2 linked regions of the Callithrix jacchus genome follow. The protein of the gene in region 2 interacts with the protein of the main gene of each other region in a biochemical or structural test. Links are inferred from orthologs where the notes say so. Each region holds a gene or a part of one and is shown on either strand. Other genes may lie near its edges.

The links.
Region 1: the proteins of AHR (region 2) and ARNT form a complex in vitro, tested with the Homo sapiens proteins (14 studies listed by BioGRID, with this or other methods). The link is inferred for Callithrix jacchus from reciprocal best matches to the Homo sapiens genes AHR and ARNT.

What each region holds. Positions count from the first base shown.
Region 1 is NC_133519.1:10,714,765-10,725,891, forward strand, and holds part of ARNT (aryl hydrocarbon receptor nuclear translocator), read right to left. Parts: intron 10,687-11,127; coding exon 10,535-10,686; intron 5,280-10,534; coding exon 5,169-5,279; intron 4,667-5,168; coding exon 4,594-4,666; intron 4,433-4,593; coding exon 4,312-4,432; intron 4,121-4,311; coding exon 4,018-4,120; intron 3,640-4,017; coding exon 3,492-3,639; intron 2,216-3,491; coding exon 2,053-2,215; intron 1,687-2,052; coding exon 1,520-1,686; intron 1,049-1,519; exon of another isoform or gene 941-1,048; intron 456-940; coding exon 366-455; 3' UTR 1-365. UniProt on the Homo sapiens protein: Required for activity of the AHR. Upon ligand binding, AHR translocates into the nucleus, where it heterodimerizes with ARNT and induces transcription by binding to xenobiotic response elements (XRE).
Region 2 is NC_133512.1:41,096,903-41,108,029, forward strand, and holds the end of AHR (aryl hydrocarbon receptor), read right to left. Parts: intron 9,598-11,127; coding exon 8,349-9,597; intron 5,715-8,348; coding exon 5,571-5,714; 3' UTR 2,818-5,570; downstream 1-2,817. UniProt on the Homo sapiens protein: Ligand-activated transcription factor that enables cells to adapt to changing conditions by sensing compounds from the environment, diet, microbiome and cellular metabolism, and which plays important roles in development, immunity and cancer.

The sequences.
Region 1 (11,127 bases), on a different chromosome or scaffold from region 2:
TTCAAAAACGAGTCATACTATCCAAGGCAAACAGTGGATGTCAGATTCTTCTAACCTGCCTCTTAATCTTAGCACAAATCATCACTCCACAACTTCAGGTCAGGAGACATAGGAAAGGTGTTTTAACTTCACCCAGCCTCAAATTTTCAGAGTCCTGAAAGCCTTGGAGATTCATTCCATTTCTTCTATAAATGTTACCTCAGAGAGGCAACAGAGTAGGGGAACAGCCAGAAGGGAAAGGGGGTACATGTCAGGGGTGAGGAAAGGGAAGGGAGAGGAACTTTTATTCTGCTTACAGAAAGATTTGCTTTTTAAAAACAAACAGTGATTTTTCTCCCCCACCCCTTATCCTCACCCCAATAGTTCTATTCTGAAAAGGGAGGAAACATAGTTAGATCAGGGAATTCTTCATTGTTGTAGCTGTTGCTCTGATCTCCCAGCATGGACAGCATCTCCTGATAAAAGAAAAAGATTAAGTTTGGGTCACACACCTTGATCTCTTATACTTCTCAAGTTTTATTCCACCATTCCCCTCCATTATCATCCCTGAACCTGAGTCTTTGCTACGCTGAGCTCTTAGCCTGCCTTCCTTCCAGCAAATTTGACGCATTTAGATCGCAGCCTTTTTTCCTAATCCCTTCTGTCTTCCTCCTACAGTTCCACCTTTTTCCTTTTCCTCGTTCTCAACATTTTCAAAGGGAGAAAAATCTGCTTGCTGTATTTCATATCACCCCCTTTGGACACATATGGAGTCTCTTGTCCTATTTGTTTTTCACCAAGACCTGTTCTACTTTCTTTCAGTCTTTGCTTTAAATCAGCTCTTCCTTTGTCCTGCCTAAGATTACTCCATTCACTCTTGCAGTCCCTCAGGACTGGTGTAAATAGACCATTATGGCTATAATCAGTTGTTCTATTTCATTTACTTTTCATTTTTATAATTTTTTAAATGGAACACTTCATAAATTTTTGTGTCACCCTTGCACAGGGGCCATGCTAATCTTCTCTATATTCATTCCAATTTTAGTATAAATGCTGCTGAAGTGAGCACTACTTTTTATTTTTAATCATTCTGTCTCTTTTAAACCCAAAGCAACTGTGACTTGGGCATGTGGAACTATTTGAATGAGCTAAAGTAACTTTCTTTGGCACCCTCCTATGGCACTGAACTGGTCTGTTCTGGTTAAATGGCATGTATCACACTCAATTGACTCCTTTTTGGTTTGTTTCACAGAGACAGGATCAGACTAGTTGCTCAGCCTGGCTTTGAACTCATGGGCTCAAGTGATCCCCTGCTTCAGCCTTCTAAGAGGCTGACATTATGAGCACAAGCACCACTGCATCTAGCTTCCACAATCCTTTCAATTACTGACAGTGATCCCTAAATTTATCCCTCTCTGTCTTCTCACATTTACCCCCCACCAAACACCTCAATCCAGGCATCCTTCCCTCACCGTCTCTCCTCCTCCCTGACTCTTTTTCTCCCAGCTTCTACTTTTCGAAAATCTTTTCACCCTCTTACCTGGAAGACCTCAGGCTGGCCAGGTTGCTGTGCTGACGATTGCTGAACATGTTGCTCACTAGAACTCGAACGATGATGAGGCTGCTGGCCCTGCCACTGTGGCCAGACACCCACACCCTCTGCTGTCCGTGTCTGGAATTGTCCTGCAGTCTGCCCAGTCTCAGGAGCTAGAAATACAGCAAGGAAGAATAAACAACTCCAATTTACACAATTCCACCGTGTACTAATTCCACAAGTCAAAACTCAGCCCTAAATTAATTTTTCTTCTCCAGGCAGCCTTTCCAAAGAGTCCTTTGCTCATTTAGATTAAATCTGCATACTATTAAATGTATAAAAATTTACATGACTTTACTATATATGCTAAAATATCATTTTTCATGTGGGTAGGTTTTAAATTCTAAATGGACTGTCACCTGGCATTTCCCTACAATTAGGTCAGTGCACCCAGAACACAGGCAAACAACTTTAACTACCAAATCCTTTCTCTTTACTGGTGAGATTTTCCTGTTACTCTCCTTGTGGTCTGGACTCACCAAAGTTGGATCCACGATTGGTGAGACTAGGGTAGGCAGCAGCACCAGGTGATGCAGTGGGAGCACCAGGGAGGGACATGGAGCTGAAGGAGGATGGAGTCTGAAAACTGCCCATGCCAAATTGGGAAGTACGTGCCTTAGTGGTAGCCTGGGTAGCCACCTGCTAAAGAGATGAAGAAGGGATACAGAACAGAGAATTAACATCATTGCACATACCATGCCTATGAGAGTCAACACTGTCAATCCCTGCATCCTTCTGAACCAAGATCATCACTTATTTCCTACTGTGTTTCTTCCAATTACTCTCAATCTCTCTTGACACTATTTTTTAGGCAGCTGAGATAAAAGTACAAAAAGCAACAAACTATGGGATTAATAAAAGTTGTAGTGAAAGCATCTTATAAACTGTAAAGTTATATAAAACTAGAGGCATTCAAAACTGTTAAGTATTACATGCAGGCCAGGTGGGGTGGCTCATACCTGTAATCCTAGCACTTTGGGTGGCCAAGCCAGGTGGATCACCTGAGGTGAGGAGTTCAAGACCAGCCTGGCCAACATGGTGAAACCCCTCTCTACTAAAAATACAAAGATTAGCCAGGCATGGTGGTACATGCCTGTAATCCCAGTTACCCGGGAGCCTGAGGCAGGAGAATCACTGGAACCCAGGAGGCGAAGGTTGCAGTGAACAGAGATTACACCACTGCATTCCAGCATGGGCAACAGAACGAGACTCAGGCTCAAAAAAAAAAAAATATATGCAGAGAAAAAATACTCTGCACCATAATTCAGTCTGTTCTACGTTCATTTGTTCCTAACGGTGCATTTTTTATAAAAACTATTTTCTCACAAGAGTTGTATATGTGCATCGTAGAATATTTGGAAAGTAAAGGAAAACAAAAAGAATCATTCATAATTTGTTAACATGTTTAGATAATTTCTTCGTTTTCATTTCCTCACGCATTTTGTACATAATTGAGATCATACTGCATCTAACATTCTGGAGCCTCCTTTTGGTTTTGACTTTTTAAAACTATTACTTGTATAACATAAATATATAGTAATATTAAACAATCTTTCTTTAGACAATATATTTATTGTGCATTATATTATATATATACAAATTTTTCAACTTTTGTAAACAGACATCACTGTAAGTTAGTCATTAATTTTCTCCTTTGTTCTTGTATTACATAGTCCTAAACAAAGAGGAAACATCTTAGAATTTACTCATAAACAAATGTGAAAACCAAACTCCACTGAGATTTTTTATTATCTGTGATTTTTAATTAGCTCCTCTCAACAAAGATGAAAACTGGAAACTGGAAGATAGGAGTTGCGGAGAAGGTATTTAAAATAGAAAACACTGACTCTACATATGTAAAAAAGACCAAACAAACAAAAAATAATACACAGGGAACAAACAGATATATAAGTTTTACCTGGGCAGAAAAGCCTGAGCGGGTAGTAGGGGTCCAAGTTGGGGCTGCTCCCTGGGTGGGGTTGGAGTGGCGGGAAATCTGGGCCAACATCTGTCCTGCAGAAGCTGATGGCTGGACAATGGTTACAGGAGGGGCTAAACCACTATTCCTAGGAGTGAACAAATGAGGTAAAGGATTAAAATGATAAATTTATTATAGAAGCTAGGAATCAAAGGACAATCTAGTGCTATCCCTAGATCCCCTTGACTTCCTGCAGGTTAAGGAAAATTTGATAACAATTTGGAAAAGACAAGAAAGACTGACAGTCACACACTGACCAGGACACAGAAATGGAGCCTAGTACATGGCAACAGGAAAATGCAAAGAAATAGGAGGAAGAAAAGCAGCTTGTTTGCCTCACACTAGGCCCTACAAGCTTCACTGCTTTTTCTGAAATAACCAGAGAAAGCAAGGGAAGAATAAAATTTGGATTCATCAGCTGAATCCCTCAGGGCCCTGTAAAGCAGCACATATATATGGGGCTCACCTGAAATTCTCTGCCGGCCGGGGGGTAGGAGGGAATGTGTTGCCCTGGGAGAATAGCTGTTGGGTGGCAGGGACAGTGCTGGAGGAGATGCCTTTACTCTGATCTGTGGACCAAAAGGAGTTGGGGGAGGGCCAGTCAAGGGGCTGTAGTATATTAGTTCAGCAAGTTCCTATTTACTCAGGTGGTATTATGATTAAGTGGAAAAACATCGGAAGATTACTGATTGGGTAGTGGCATGCCCATCAGTAAGTGATCTAAATGAGAATTTAAAAGGATAGTGAGAAAGAAACATACCTGCATTGATGTTGTGATAAATTTCTGAAAATCTTGGATCTCTATCCTGGGCAAATAAACCATCTGACTTCTCAAGGGGCTTGCTGTGTTCCGGTCCTGTGGTTGTCACAGGCTGAACAACCTGTGGAATACAATAATAAAAATAACCATTAAAGATTTAACATGACAATTTAATAACCCTAAAATTCATATAAAACATATGTAGATTCTAACTAGTACTGGAGGACACTTCCTAAGTAAATACTCTCTATCCTTTTCAAAGAAAAAGAGGACACAACTTACCTGGGAATGATTGTAGCTGGCCAGTCCATCTCTTCCTGGTACCATGTCCAATTCTGTTTGCTGTTGCTGCTGCCTATATGTCAAAGGACAGTGGAAAAGAGAAATAGGGAAAAAGAAAATTTTTTAAAGAATCTGGAAAAACTAGATTTTTTTTCTTAAAAAAAAGAATTATGGGCTGGGCGCGGTAGCTCATGCCTGTAATCCCAGCACTTTGGGAGGCCGACGCAGGTGGATCACGAGGTCAAGAGATCGAGACCACCCTGGTCAACATGGTGAAACCCCGTCTCTACTAAAAATACAAAAAATTAGGCAGGGGTGGCAGCAGGCTCCTGTAATCCCAGCCACTCTCGAAGCTGAGGCAGGAGAATCACTTGAACCCGGGAGGCAGAGGCTGCAGTGAACCTAGTTTGCGCCATTGCACTACAGCCTGGGTGATGAGAGCAAAACTCCGTCTCAAAAAAAAAACAAAAAACAAAAAAAAATTAACCAACCAACCAAACAAAAAAATATATGGGATTGCAAATGACCACCCCCTGGGTGACTGCTCAACAAATGATTATTTCACTCTTTCTTACCTTGGTGCCAGCTGCCCTGAGCCCATCTCCAAGGGTAAATTAGCTGTGGGACCTAGCTGTGGCCTCTGGACTGCGTTGGAGAGTGCAGGCCGTGGTTCTTGGCTAGAGTTCCTAGGAAAACAGAGTAGACAGTAAAGAAGGGAAGGAAGTGGAGGAGGGGGAGACAGAGACAAAGAGAACAATCAGATTCTGTATGTAAAGCTCTACAGATTCATCTGTAGGTGGAACAATCAATAAATCCTTCATTGAAGTCCAATCCTACAATTAACCTATGATGTCAAATAGAAACTATGTCCTATGGCACAAAGGGTCACCTTGTTGGGTTCTCAGTCCTTCTAGGTATTCAAAACCTGGTTGTTATATATATTCATAGTCTGTATTTTTTTAAAGCATAGGTAAAAAACTGAAAGTATGTACACTGATACATTAACAAAGACTATCTGGAGTATGAAATTTTTTTTTCCTTCTCTCTATACTCTTCAATACTTTCCACATTTTCTATAAAAAAATATTTATTTAAAAATAAAATACTGGCCAGGCACAGTGGCTCACGCCTGTAATCCCAGCACTCTGAGAGGCTGAGGCAGGGTGGATCACTTGAGCTAAGGAGTTTCAAACCAGCCTGGGCAACATGGCAAAACCCCGTCTCTACAAAAAATACAAAAATCAGCAGGAGTGGTGGTGGGCTCTTGTAGTCCCAGCTACTCAGGAGACAGGTGGGAGGATCGACTGAGCCTCAGAGGAAGAGGTCGCAGTGAGCTGAGATAGCGCCACTGCACTCTAGCCTGGTGACAGAGTGAGACCCTGTCTCAGTAAAACAAACAAACAAGCTCTAAAAGCTAATTAAAATTAATCATGTAGGGAAAATGATACGTAAACATGGAGAAAGCAGTTATTTCCAGAAATTCAAGTCCTTAAAATGACTTAAATTTTTTAAAATTTAAATAAAACGGAAACACAAAAATGATGCCTGTTGTATAATATAAACATGCAAAAAGACAGGAAAAAAAAAAGCTACAATGACCATGGCCTTCCACTTGAGTTCTAAGTTAATAAAAACTTCTAACTCAATCCATTGTGTTATATTAAGTTACTTAGCAAAGAATTAAACTTTACAAGTTCTAACGACTGAATTGGACAATGCTGTTGTCACTAGGTATTATTCATACTTGCTAAGTAGTCATAATCTGATCGTCAAGAGCTGGATTCAAGGCCAATTCTACAGAAAAAAAAGATTAAATGGCAAAGTGACAACCTACTAGATGGCTATAATAAAGAAAGACAATAATGAGTGTTAACAAGGATGTGGAGAAACCAGAACCCTTGTACATTGCTCCTGGGAATGCAGAGGGATGCGGGAGCTTTGGAAAACAGTTTGGCAGTTCCTCAAAAGGTAAAACAGAGTTACTCTGTGACCAGCAATTCCACTCCTGGGTGGAATTCAAGAGAATAAAGACATATATCCAAACACAAACTAGTATAGAAATATTCATGAAAGCATTTTTTCAGCTCCTTATCGCTATTTTACAGATGAAAGCATTCTTGATAACCAAAAAGTAGCAACAACCCAATGTCTGTTAATGAACACATAGTATGTGGCATATCTATACAACACGGATGACCTTTGTAAACATTTTACTAAGTGAAAGAGGCCAGTTACAAAGGAACTACATAGTCTGTGATTCCATTTATATGAAATGCCTAGAATAGACAAATTTACAAAGACAACAGATTCATAGTTACACCGAACTTGAGAGGAAGGGGAAAGAACAGGGAATGACTGTTAACTGATCTAGAATTTCTTTTGGAGGAATGAAAATATTCTGAAATTAGACTGCAATAAGAGTTACATAACTATGTGATATACTAAAAAACACTGGATACTTTAAATGGGTGAGGCGTATGATATGTGAAATATATCCCAATAAAACTTTTTTAAAAAGAAGCTGAGAAAAAAAGCTCAAATAGAAAAGTTCAAAAGAGAGGAACAGTAACTAATAAAACAGGAGGATATAGCTATGCTCTAAGCAAACAGCCCAAATAAAGCCCACTGCCTGCTTTTGTAAAGAAAGATTTACTGGAACACAGCCACAGTCTTCCGTTTGTCTATGACTGTTTTCATGCTGCAGCAGAGCTGAGTAGGTGCAATGAACACCACATGGCCCACAAAGCCCCCTTTACAGAAAGAGCTTGCCTACCCCTTGCTCCAGAGGAAAATCCTGCCAGACTAGAGCAATAAACTGGTATATAAAACATAATCCTTTTCAGAATGAGTTGATACATAGAATTGAAATATAAACCCTTCCATTTCAGGACCTAGTCTCTGAATTATTGTTGGTAAAATCTTATTCTGCCCAGGTGCAGTGGGTTATACCTGTGATCCTAGCACTTTGGGAGTTGAAGGAGTATGGATTGCTTGTGCCCAGGAGCTCAAGTCCAGCCTCTGCAACATGGAAAAACCCCATCTCTATAAAAAATACAAGAATTAGCCAGGCATCCTGGTGCACGCCTGTAGCTCCAGCTACTCAAGGGACTGAGGTGGGAGGATCGCTTGAGCCTGGGAGGTCAAGGCTGCAGTGAGCCATGATCATGCCACTGCATTCCAGCCTGGGTGACAGAGTGAGACCCTGTCTGCGGGGGGGAATAAAGTTTACTCTATTCTGATCAACTATCCCAAATCCTGTAAGCTGGAAAATGAGAAACTTCAAACTAATGGTGTTGAATATTGGAAAAGTAGAGGATAAGGGGACAGCTTGATAAGACTAAGAAGACTTGGTCCGTTAGAAATCCCAACGTCGGAAAATGCCTGTGTTATATTGTGAAATACAACTGATTGCTGAACATGGAGGTTGGGGCACCAAGCACTGTGCAGTCAGAATTTCGACTGTGACTTCTGACTCCCCCAAAACTTTACTACTAATGCCTACTGTTGGCTAGAAGCCTTATCAATAGCAAACTGTTGATTAACACATTTTGTATGTTGTATGTGTATATACTGTATTCTTAAAATAAAGCTAAAGATAAAATATTTTAAGAAAATCATAAGGAAGAGAAAATACATTTATAGCACTGTACTGTATTTATTGTTAAGAGTTTATATTATCTGTTTACAAGATGAGTCGTTTCTACGAAGTGGCAAGCAACCACAGTTGCCGACTTCATTCTACAGTACATATCAAGCAATTCACCTTTTTCTTTTTTCTTTTGTTGAGACTTCGCAGGCTAGAGTACAGTGTCGCAATCTTGGCTCACTGCAACCTCTGCTTACCGGGTTCAAGCGATTCTCTTGCCTCAGTCTCCCGAGTAGCTGGGACTACAAGCTCCCACCATCATGCCTGGCTAACTTGTATTTTCAGTAGAGACAGGGTTTCACCATGTTGGCCAGGCTGGTCTTGAACTCCTGACCTTATGATCTACCCACCTAGGCCTACCAAAGTGCTGGGATTACAGGCTTAAATCACTGCGCCCAGCCCACCTTTTTCTTATAATGTCATGACTTTTCCCTGCTTCTTGGGAACACTTCCAGCATCACTAGTGGCACTTCATATTGTTCCTAAATGTTATTAAAGGTTTACAGTATTTCACTAAACATGATGAAAAATACACAAGAACCATGAGATTTCACTTTTTACTACAATATACAATTTACCGGAGAGAATTGCTCATGAAGACATGATTAGCATCATATAGCATGTTAAGCAGACCGGCAACAATTGAGCAATAGGAGGTGGCTATAAAATTATTACAGTAGTACCGTATGTATTACAGTTAACTTTATGCAGTTATAATTTAAAACTACATCTTTACATTTGTTCACATTTATCTCAACTACAAATAGTACCATATATAGTCTGTGCGTATGTATAGGTTGTGATACTTTTTTTTTTTTTTTGAGACGTAGTCTCACTCTGTCACTCAGACTGGAGTGCAGTGGTGCAATCTCAGCTCACCGCAACCTCTGCCTCCCAGGTTCAAGTGATTCTCGCGCCTTAACCTACCAAGTAGCTAGGACTATAGACATGCGCCACCATGCCCAGCTAATTTTTGTATTTTCTTTTTTTTAAGTAGAAATGGGGTTTCACCATATTGGCCAGGCTGGTCTCAAACTCATGACCTCAAGTAATCTGCTCAGCTCAGCCTCCCAAAGTGATGGGATTACAGGTGTGAGCCACCTCACCTGGCCAGCATTTTTACTTTTTATAATAGATTTCTATACACTTTATGGTAGTAAATGATAAAATAAGATTAGAATTTACATATATTTAATACTTTCATGACATGACTTTTTCTAATTTTTTTCAATAAGTCTAGGCTATGTAGCTTATTGTAGGGTTTTTCAAATTGTCACAAATTTCCAAAAATTTTTCCAACACATTTACTGAAAAAAATCCATGTGTCAGTGGACCTGGATTTATACCAACTAAAATCTTTGGAATCTTCAGTACGGTAAGTGTCTTTTTGTCTGCTAGTGAGTTGACTGACGGCTGGCAACCCCTAGGCAGCTTTAGGATAGGGGCTTGTCTCTGGAAAGATCAAGGCAAAATTAGAGGGTTGGGATTTTTAGCCCTAACCTTCAACATCATGGAGGGGCACGGGACTGAAGGTTAAGTTGATTGCCAATGGCCAATGATTTAATCACTCATGCCTACATAATAAATATTCCATTAAAACGCAAAAGGACGCGGTTTGAGGAGCTTCTTGATAGGTAAACACATGGAGATCCCTGGAGGGCAGCCACCCAGAAGGAGTATAAAAGCTCTGTGCTCCTTCCTCCTTACCTTGCCCTATCTATCTCTTCATCTGATGTTCACTAGTATTCTTCGTAATATCCTTTATAATAAACTGGTAAACAAAGGTAAATGTTCCCTGAGCCATTCAAGCAAACTGACGGAACCCAAGTAGGGGGTCATGGGAAACAGCTGGTCAGTCAGATACACAGGTACAACAACCTGGAGCTTGTAATTGGCATCAGAAGTGGGAGCAGTCTCATGGTACTGCATCTACAAATTGGGAGATCTGATGCTATCTTCAAGTAGACAGTAAACTGAATCGAATAGAAGGACAACCAGCTGGTATCCACTGCAGAAGTGACTGCTTGATGTTTTTTTTAAACAGAGTCTCCCTCTGTAGCCCAGGCTGGAGTGCAGTGGCGCAGTCTACTCACTGCAACCTCCACCTCCCAGGTTCAAGCAATTCTCCTGCCTCAGTCTCCAGATTTAGCTGGGACTACAGCCACACACCACCATGCCCAGCTGATTTTTGTGTTATTGCTTGATTGTTTTAGCCCTCACATTGGGCATCAGAAGTATTGTGTGTTGTGAGAGCAGAGGAAAAAGAGCTTTTTCATACTCCTCTATAATACGTACTTCACATTGGTGTTGGTACAGATGATGTACTCAATTTCATCTGAGTAAGGGTTCTGGAAAGTAAAGGAGCTTGTTCTCATCCAGAGCCATTCTTGGTTCTTAGACCGGAACCGGAACATGACAGACAGCACTTGGCCTTTTAATTTCACAACCTGAAAAAGTTTTCATGCCATCAGTGGAACTCATAGAAAATTTTCATTACAAAAATAAATAAAAATTTTCCAATTTCTACAATCCTAAAACTCTTACCATTATCCTTGAAGCACCAGTATTTTTCAGTATTAACACAAAATGAGAAAGTATAAACTAAGTGATTAAATATGGAGGCATATTTCTCATGCTTCCTCTCAGAGACTCACGCTTTCTTATTAGGCTGGTGCAAAACACATTATGATTAAAAAAAAAAAGGCAAAAAATGCAATTTCTTTTGCACCAACCTAATACTATTCTAGTCAAATAGAAATAATACTTATTTATACTTATTTATAGGAAGGAAAAGACTGTTTCCCTACTTCTCTTGGGAAGTCCATTAAAGATACTCTGAGTTCGCTTTAGAAGTCTGTACCAGACATTTGGTAAATTTAATGACACTG
Region 2 (11,127 bases):
TAGGAAAAGATTAATGAGAGACATAAACACTTTGTGGCAATAAAAAACTATTTTTATACAAAAGTAATTTAAAAAACTGTGGGATAATTTTAGATTTACAGAAAGGTCAAAAGGATATAGAGTTCCTTTATTCTCTTCAGCAAGGTTCCTTTAATGTCTTGTATGACCATGGTACATTGGTCGAAGCTAAAAATTAACGATCATACAGTATTGTTAACTAGACTTTGAGTTCTGCAGACTCTCAGTAATGCCCTTTTTGTATGAAAGACGTAATTCAAGATACCACATTAAATTCAGTCATCATGCCTCCTTAGTCTTCTCTGCTCTGTGACAATTATTATTCAGTCTCTTTCTGTGACAGTGACCCTTTAAAAAAATCCTCTCAAAAATTTTGTGGAATTACCCTGAATTCGGGTTTGATGTTTTCTCACTAGACTGACATCACATGGGTTTAAGAAAATCAGGGAACGTTGAGACATACACTTCTCAAAGTATCATATCACGTAATACATGTCATATCAACATGACTTTTCACTGGTGATGCTAACCTTGATCACTTGGTTAAAGTAGTGCTTGCATGATTTCAACACTGTAAAACGATTTTCTTCTCTGTACTCTATTTCTTGAAAGCAAGTCATTAAGTCTAGCTCACACTTCAAGAGAACTAAGCTCACACATCAGAGGGCATAGTAGCTAGCAATATTATTTGGGATTCTTCTATAGGAAAGGTGTGCTCCTTCTCCCTGATTTATTTTTCTTTCTTTTTTTTTTTTTTAAGACAGAGTTTCGCTCGTTACCCAGGCTGGAGTGCAATGGCGCGATCTCGGCTCACCGCAACCTCCGCCTCCTGGGTTCAGGCAATTCTCCTGCCTCAGCCTCCTGAGTAGCTGGGATTACAGGCATGCGCCACCATGCCCAGCCAATCTTTTGTATCTTTAGTAGAGACGGGGTTTCACCATGTTGACTAGGATGGTCTCGATATCTTGACCTCGTGATCCACCCGCCTCGGCCTCCCAACCCGATTTTTCAACCATCTATTTGTATCAGGATGGATTCATGGATCTTTACTTTATTCTTTGGGTTGTAATCCAGTGCTATCATCACTTACTTAGTTGCTCAAATTATTCCAGTTTTGGCTAAGGGCAGCTAAGCGATTTTATATAAATCACTGAATCCTCCAACAACCCAGTGAGGCAGGTACTGTTAGCCTTATTTTATAGAAAAGGAAACTTAGGCTCAGAGAAAGTAAGAAGTCTTCCCAATGACATACCTTATTTGTGAGGAAGCCAGGATTTATACCTAGTAGTGTGACTCCAGTCTATGCTGCTCTCTAAGGGATAGAATTGCTCCACAAATGTCCATCAGAGATAAGACACTGAATCACTTCTTAGATAGTATGTATAGAAAGAGCCACAAATGGTCAGAACTAAGCCTGCTGCCAGGAGGGAAGAGGAAAGAATGGTTAACAAAGGAAAAAGAAGGGATAATAAGAGCTTGTAGGACAACTAATGTCATGCAAGAAAAAAGTTCATTCAAAGTAATCAATTTGGTTGCAGGGCCATAGAAAACGAGCCTGTGGTTAAGTTTAATGAACTGCAACAATGCAGTATAATAGAAAGATGGAAAACAAAAGCAGGTTTCAGATCAAGATTGTTACAAAGGAAGGAGGTAAAGAAGTAATTTATTGGACAAAAAAAAGAGGAAGATCATGTAATTTTTTTCCAAAATGGAGGAGGACCTATACACAGGGAATCCTATGGAGAAGGAGAGCCTCTGAGAAAGGAAGCATAGAAGTTACATGCATGAGAACAAGAAAGAACCTGGGCTAACCCTGGAATTCAGGAACCTCTCCTCCTCACATACTGGAGGTAAGTCTAAGAGACCAAAGAGAGAGGAATTGCTGAGGTGAAGGTACAGACAAACTTAGGATGATACCCTCAATTTTATTAGTAAAAACAGAAGCAAGGTCATCTGCAGACAGTGAAAGAAGTTAGAGAGGTGTCACCCAGTCCTGTCAGTGACCAACATCCCTGGGTTGGTGTTTGGTAGAGCTGGTGAAATTAGACAAGCTAGTCATTCATGGTGACAGAAATAATCAGAGATGCACTCAGGTAATCTGGATTTTTACTTGATTTTTTTCAGATAGTTAAAACTAAAAAATTTATGTAACTCTTAAAGACTCAGGGTTACTCTAAAATGTTCAGAATTAAGTATGATGCTAACTTACAATCTGCTTATTGAGAAAAATACCTAATTGTAAAGAACAAATACAAAACTAATAGAAACATAACTGTCATGAGAATGAAAATGTTTTCTCAGGAATTTTTCTTCAATCAATTCTAATTGCAGAATTTTTCATGATATTCAACACTTATAAATTTAAAGCCAAAGGCTTCTGTATCATTTATACTTATTAAACAGAAAGACAAAGTTTGGGCAATGGTTTTTCTAAACTAAGCACAAAAAAGCTAACAAGAGTTATTTCAAATTTCTTCAGAAATATTCTTAAAATATTATTTATTAAAATGGAATTTTGGATTTTAATCTGATACAAACACTACTACACTGATAATACAGGGCTTAAAGAAAAAGTCCATTTCAGAAGCATTTTAATTTAAAAAGCTACTGAAAGTATTTTTTATATCCAGATAAAGGCCAAACATTGGGAGGAAAAACTGTGTAAAAAGTTTATGAATTATTGACTTAATATATCTCTATGTATTATAGACCGCCCTCATCTAAAATAGTTACAATACTATGTAACTTATGACACAATTTCCTTTAGGTGGACCAGAAAGAAGAATTTACATTAAAACATGTTATTCATATTTATTTTATTACATATATATTATTGTATACAACTTTGATAATAAGGATATTATAAATCATACTTTAAGCAAAAATCTATGCATGGCATATGTAAGCAGTAACATTTTGAAGCAAAAAAGCCATGAAAACATTTACCTAAAATGTATTAACACTGAAAAACACTAGTTTGTGCATAGTAATGATTGAAAGCTTCATAATACACTAGAATACTAGTAAGTCCTCAGGTATTGTAAGAAAAACCTGGTATAGAAAAAGACTAAATTAGACATATCCACATTCTTAGATGTGCATATCATCTAGAAATAAATCCCTCAGTGTGGCAGTGCACTAAGCATCCTTCCTTTGGCACTTATCAATACAGACAAAGATGTATTTGGTTTAATGTGGTTTTATTCTTAGACACATTTTAGTTATTTTATATAGATAAAAATATACAATATTGCTTTTAAAACTTAAATTTTGTAACTGTATAACTGATTTGTCATCATATTCACAATTAAAGAGCCTATTTTTCCACTTAACAATACGTCCAATAACTTGTGGAAGAGAGTAACAAAAATGGTTTATAGAAGACTTAAAAGGTTTAAATGTAAAAATAGAATATTAAGCTAGACCACTAGTCTAAATCCTTAGATATCTTATGCTGGAAACAAATTATGAAATGCTTCAGGCAAATTTTTTTCAACACAAGTTGATTATGCAGATTTAAAATTTTGACTGAAAATACATAGAACTGACAGAGATTTTGTCTGAAGCCACTTTTAAATACAATAATTTACTAAAAAAAAGTAAGACAAATGAAAATTGTGTTTTAATACATCTCAGTTTGGGATTCCATCAGATTGTAAAATAATACATGCAAAATGTGTCTAAGCTCTTCAGCGCTCATATCTAAAGAAAAGAATAGCTGGGTGCAGTGGCTCATGCCTGTAATCCCAAAACTTTGGGAGGCCGAGGCAGGATCACCTGAGGCCAGGATTTCAGACCAGCCTGGCCAACATAGTGAAACCCCGTTTCTACTAAAAATACAAAAATTAGCTAGGCATGGTGGCACATGCCTGTAAATCCCAGCAACTCGGGAGTCTGAGGCAGTAGAATCACTTGAACCCAAGAGGTGGAGGTTGCAGTGAGTCGAGATTGTACCATTGCACTCCAGTCTGGGAGGCAGAGTGAGACTCTGTTTCCCTCCACATCCCCCCGCAAAAAGAAGAAGAAGTAGAAAAGAATAAAAAATGGTGGCATATTTTCTTTTAAACCATTTCAGGACAGTAAAGTAGATAGGATGCTTAATTTGCTTATTGGTAATGAAGATCATTATATCATTAAAAACAACCTAATGTCTGAATGTAAAGGAACTATGTTAAAGCAGTTGGATTTATTACTTGATTTCTTAAAAAGACACATTGACAAAGGATGTAAAGACCCAACAAATTATTTAAGTGTATATATAAGGTGTGGACTTCTTAAAATGAAAAACTGCATATATCTTACAAATAATTTTGTTCATTCTATCTATACAATGCACCATTCAATGCACTCATTACAATACTTTGCACCAAACATTGCTACCTGCAATCTTAACATTCCTCAAATATGAGAAAAACCAAGTTTCCACTGTTCTAGGAAGCGAAATTTATAAAGTCAACACAATATATTATCAAGGATTATAGACCTAAGTTTTTAAAGACAATTTATACACATTGAAATAGGTGCTTTGCTTAATAGAATTAAAAAGCTAGAAATAAAGCTTCTTGCAATTTAATAAACAGTCACAGTTAACAGCAGATTTTTCACATGGCAACATTCAACTATCATCATAGAAATTTCAATAAAGATAAACAGTGGTATATTTATTTCTTCTGAAAACACCGTTGAAGAATTTAAGTGCTATTATATATTAAGAAATAATTTGGAAAGACATTTTACTTTAAAATTTTTTCAACATAAGGCACATAGCAACATTTATAGTCTAGAAACAACTAAATTATGCAATAAATAATTATTTTTCAATCACTGTTTGCCCTTTACCTGAAGTAAGTAGGGGAGTAGGACAGTTAAAACATGCCTGAATTAATAAAATGGTTGGATTTTGGAAATACAAATAATATTTGTGCGCAGAAAATAATTAAAAAAAAGAATACTTTACATAAAATATACATCCTACAGTGTTATAGGTAGAAAAAAGTGTGAGGCACTTAGATTAATAGTGAAGGAGGAAAGCACTGAGATTATCTTTTTATGAAAAGCACCAAATCATTTATTTTAACATCCAAGATAAATGCAGAGGCTAAAATGATAGGAAAAATGAGTTTAGTTCTGTAACTTTGTATTTGGAGAACTAGTAAGAATCCAGAAGTTCAAAACTCAAAATATTTTATTTTTATTCTGACAGAAATAATTAAAATAGAGAATGTTTTCTAATTTAGAAGAGTCTTAAAGTTTCCCTGAATAAGTTTTGCATATTTTGTGATGCTCAGAATAATGTGAAATGTAGATAGTATCTCACTACTCTGTGGCAGCACACTTTCTACACTAATGACTATAGTATATATAATTTTGATATCATTTTGAAAATTCCTTTTCCAGAAACAGAAATTAAAATTGGTTTGGAAGAATTGTGAAGAGCATGCATCAATGCCTCCATGTGAACTTGCTGACATCCAACAGTGACAGTTTTATTATTCCACAATCCTTTACAAACTAATTTAATCCAAAAACCAGGGTCAAAATTGGGCTTGGAATTACAGGAATCCACTTGATGTCAAATCAGGAAAAGGTGTGGCTTCTGACGGATGATGAAGTGGCTGAAGATGTGTGGTAGTCTGAGTGTTATTTATGTTATTTAATTCAGCTGGATATGTTTCATTTAAAACTCCATTCTGAAACTGAAAACAAAAATAGTGATGCAACTTACTGGAATGGATCTTCCAAGTATCTTAAGCCATTAAATAACATATTAACATGTATTTTTAAAATCTTACCCCTGAGAGTTGTGAACTTCAAGTTCCTTTACTGCTACTAAATGTTAAATCTTTCATACAGTGAAGACATAACTGAGGACATATTATGTATTAGCTGCATTTATAACCTTTTTTTTTCATTAATTTGACAGGAAATTTTGAATATGGTACAGATGAGTGATACAGCTGCCTCATTTCAGACTGCCTTTGGATAACATAGGAATTGATGGATCAAAGAGCATCAGTCAGGAATTATAGTTGACCAGGTTTCAAGTTGTAGGTGTCAATGAATTGGTTATATTCAGGAATCTTACACTGGAATGCAAAACTTTTCCAAAAAAGGCAGCTTCTGATTTTCTAAATATTCTTAAAATATTACACCACAGGTATGATTTGCTTAACCAGTATCTTATTCATAATATACTTTTAATTAGTGAATACTACTGAAAGTATAGTTCTAATTACAGAATCAAGTTACCAAAAGAAAATGCCCTTTCTTGTTTTCTTATACTGCAATGAATCTGGTTTCTGCAACTGCAAGTAGAAAAAAAGAAAAACAAAAAAAAAAAAAGGAAGGAAACGAAGATGCATATCCCTGTAGAGTTTTAGATTATAGAGCCTTTATATTTTAGTTAGTGTATGTTCTGCAAATGTTAAAACAGATTAAAATTATATTATTAATTGCTTCAAATAAATCTACCTTTCTAAACCTTAGGTAGCATCAGGCTTCAGTAATCAAAATATTGATTACTTCACAGATCCTCCAAAACAAATCTATAGTAAAAATCATATAATCTGATCTTTAATGAATGGCAACTCTGTAAATTCTTTAAATAAAAAGTTAATAGTACTTGTTCAGATAATGGTGAGTTTTAAATGAATTTTTCTCATTACTCATAACACAATTCATGTCAGCCATTCTCTTTAAACATACTGTACAGAGCAGTGTCATCCAATAGAAATGTGTGAGCCACATAGAGAACTTAAATTTTTGACTGCAGTAGATTAAATAAAATACATTACTAAAGTTAATTTTACCTGTTTCTTTTTACTTTTTTTAATGTGGCTACTGAAAAAATTAATCATTTCAACATGAAATAAATAATAAAAGATGAGATGTTTACATTTTCTCAAGCCAGGTCTTCAAAATCCAATGTGTATTTCACACAGCACATCTCAATTTGGACTAGCTACATTTCAAGTGTGTAAGAGCTACTCAGTGGCTCAATACTGAGTGTCTTAGCTCTGTAACATCTACTCTGGAGCATATGTAGGTCTACAGAATTATTTGGTTATTCACAAAGAAGCAATACAAAGTAGTGAGGGGAAAACACTGCAAAGAACTTATGTGGTACTAATGCAACTCCTTATTCAAAATGTAATTTTACAGAATTAACTTCTATACAATTACTCAAGAGTAAAATATACTTTCATAGCAATCTTGTGAGATTGTCTATAATTGAATATTATTCAATTTTTATAGAACTGAAGGATATAAGGAGTAAGAATAATCTTCGCCATCCTTTTCTATTAAAATGGTCATAAAATACGACAAACAAAATGTATGAAAAATCAGACAAACATAATGTATGAAAAAAGCCAGAAAATACAATTAAGGATAAAGATTCAGGTCATACTTCTAATCATTATACTCAAATACAGAGTAAACGGGGGTCAAGGAACTTAATTTTAGTCAAAATATTCTTTAAAACTAAACTTAAATATACTCTAAAATGAACTAAGTATTTTCTACTGGAAAAGCATAAATGCAAACATGATGTATTCCTCAGTGGCTTTCTGTTACCTTTTTTTTATTTAAGTGATCATTTTTAGATTTAAAGTGTATTCACTGCTAGAAGGATTCTGATGACACATTTAAACAATAAAAATATACTGTCAAGCTTGATTTCCATGACAGAAAGCTAGCTGAGTTACCTCTTTTAAGAAAGCCAGAAAAGAAACAAAGCAATTCTGCCTTAAAGGATAAAATGAAGATAGGGCAGGTAATGTGAGGAATAGCTAGAGAACATGGAGGCCTAGGACTTAATTCCAGGGATATAATCTAGGACAAAGGCATTATAAGAAAGCACACTTACATTTGAGTCTAACTCAATTTCAAACACATCCAAAAAAATAGAGCCGGGAAGAAACTATTCTTAAAAATTGCAATATGTTTATAAAGTTTGAATTTTTAAAAAGCCATATAATTTTTAAAGAATCCAGAAAGAATCAACCAAATTACCCATTTTAAATGTAATACTTTTAAAAACTAATTTCACTTGCTAATTTAGGTCATCTTACATTAAGGACACATTTATGTTGCTTTAGCCCTTGACACCTTTCTCCCTCATGACTCAGGTGAGTGATGTATTAGTAACATACTGGAAAAAGTACAGGCTTATGAAAAAAAAGGTAGTCACAGATATAATGAAAAATGCTGTCTCCATGAATGCTGTAGATAATAGATTAAAATCAGCGGACATAAAAAATGTGTAACATGTCTATTTATACGGTGACAAGAATCACTGAAAGATTCATTCAGTTTGTTAATACCCTTACCTTGTTTAAAAATGCCTGTTGACCTGGCAGTACTGGACTGTACTGCATCTGACCCACATGGGTGTGCTGAGGTTCTGGCTGGCACTGATACATCGACACAGACCCAGCATAACATGTCTGAGGGGTTACTATGGCTGACTGTGGATTTAATCCATGGTGTTGGTTTTCAGGAACTTGTAAACAAGTGACAAATTGTTCTAAACTAGAAGTAGTGGAGTATGGGGATGGTTCAAAACTCCCCATAGGATAGTCCAACTCTGTACATTTGGAATGTTGTGGTAATACAGACTGATTACAGGAAATAAAGTTCTGTGTATAAGGCATAGGATCAATCTCAGATTTGTAGGGAAACTCTTGATTGATCCCATGTACGTCTGAAAAGACATTATACTGTTGGAGGTCTTGCTGAGGACAACTGAAAGGCACAAATTGGGTAGAGTTCCAGTTTGCAAACATGCCATTGACTTGCATATGCTTCATTTTCTGACACAGTTGTTGCTGTGGCTCCACTACTACTTGCTTCTGGTGATGCTGTTGCTGCTGTTGCTGTTCTAGCTGTAGGTGTTCCTGTACCATACAGCTTGAGTTCAGGGCCAGTGACTGTTGCTGTTGGTAATCTGAAGGTACGAAGGCAGACTTATTTAAAGAATCTTGGATATATGTCAGGATTTCATCTGTTAAGTCAATGTCTCTGAAGTCAACCTCACCAGAAAAATCATTTCTGAAAAATTTTTCATTCTGCATGTGTTTGATGTCTTCAAGATCAATGCCTAGGTTTTTCATAATGCTGTATAAGTCAGTGTTTTTACTATCTTGAAAGAGCCCTGGGTGACCTCCAGCAAATGAGTTTACATCCTGAGACTGGTCAATTTGCTCATGTTTCAGGATAGTATCATTTCCCATTGATGCAGTATTATCTTGCCAATTTCTGCATTCATTCATAGATTCATTAAAAAAATTGTTGTCAAAAGGTGCAGTACATGAAGTACTTGAAGCAGGATAGAGATAAATAGACTCATCTTGTTGCATCATGGCAGCCAGGAGGGAACTAGGATTGAGACACTCCTTGTTTAGAGTTGATTTGGTAGCAGAATCTTTTCCACTCGTGCCATTTTTAGTCCTTAGTGGTAAGGGATCCATTATGGCAGGAAAAGGGTTGGTTACTTCATACAATACAGCTTCTCCAGTGGTAAACATAAAAGGCAACTTCGTATTTCGTTTTCGTAAATGCTCATTTCCTTCCTCATCTCTAAAATTGTGTATAAAAAAGTCTTAATAAAAATTATATCATAAACATTTAAAAATAAATATAATTACAAAAAGAAAAACAAGCAAAATACATAATTGAATTCAGAAGGGGACATATTTTATTTTCACCTCAATTATTCTCATGAGTAGTGCCATAAAATTGTTTTTCAGACAAGCATGTTTAAATAATTTAATTGTTAAAAATTAACTTAGTTAATTCCATGGTCAGGTTATATCCCTACCTGACATCCTGTAGAAAAAATAAGTTTGTGTGGAATAAAGATCTACACATAAAAACAGACTATAAGAATTTAGGGGCCAGGTGTGGTGGTACATGCCTGTAATTGCAGCACTTTGGGAGGCAGATGTGTGCGATTTGTTGAGCCCAAGATTTTGAAACCAACCTGGGCAACATGGTGAGACCCCTACCTCTGCAAAATAATAAAAGTTAGCTGGGCATGGTGGCACATGCCTACAGTATTGGCTACTGGTGAAGCTGAGGCAGGAGGATTGCCTGAGCCTGGAGGTTAACCCTAACCCTAACCTTAATGAGCCATATTTGTGCCACTGCATTCCAGCCTAGGTGATAGAGTAAGATCCCATCTCAAAACAAAATTAAAAAGTTTATGAATTAGAAATTTAAGAATCTGAAACAACTAACCTCTCTAGTAAAACCCAGAAACTATAAAGACATTACTGGTATACTTGGTAATATGAAAATTATTTAGTATTAATTAAAGTGTTTGTATTTTTGCAAGAGAATTCTTAAGGCATAAAGAAAATATTTTTAACATATATAATGTATTTATAATATATATATAAAATTTCATATCTATAATAGGTAAAAAGCTCCAATAGAGTCTAAGAGAGAGTCAAGCAACTCAAGAAAAACAGGTAAATGATAATACAAACTTGTAATTCAAAAAAGAAAAGTGTCCTAGAAAGATGTAACAAGATACCCTCCCTCATTAGTAATAAATAAATGAAACAACAAACATGTCTTATAACAGAAGCACACAAAATATCAACACATGTATGGACATATGAACTCCCAAAAGACAGAACATGTATTCTTTACAGGATTACATGGGATATTTTACCAACACAGACCATGTGTTAGATTATAAAATAAGCCACCACAAATTTCAAAAAACCTGAAGTCCACTCAGGGAATGTTTTCTGACTACAATGGAATTAAACTAAAAGTCAATCACAAAAAGGCAACTAGAAAAATCCCCAAACATCAAAAAGTAGAGTAACACCGTATTTATAAATAATTCACTAATAAAAATCAAATGAAAAGAAAATTAGCCAGTATTTTCAATTAAATAATAAAAATAAGACAGCAAAAGATGAGGGTTGTAGTTTAAGTGTTGTACTTAAAGGGAAACTGATATAATGTTTAAGTATATATATTTTTAAAAGTTAGAAAAAATTATATATTATACTCAAAGAAGGTAGAAGGAAGAAAATAATAATGAGCAGACATAATTAAAATGACAAACAAATGTGTACACTAGAAAAAAAAAAT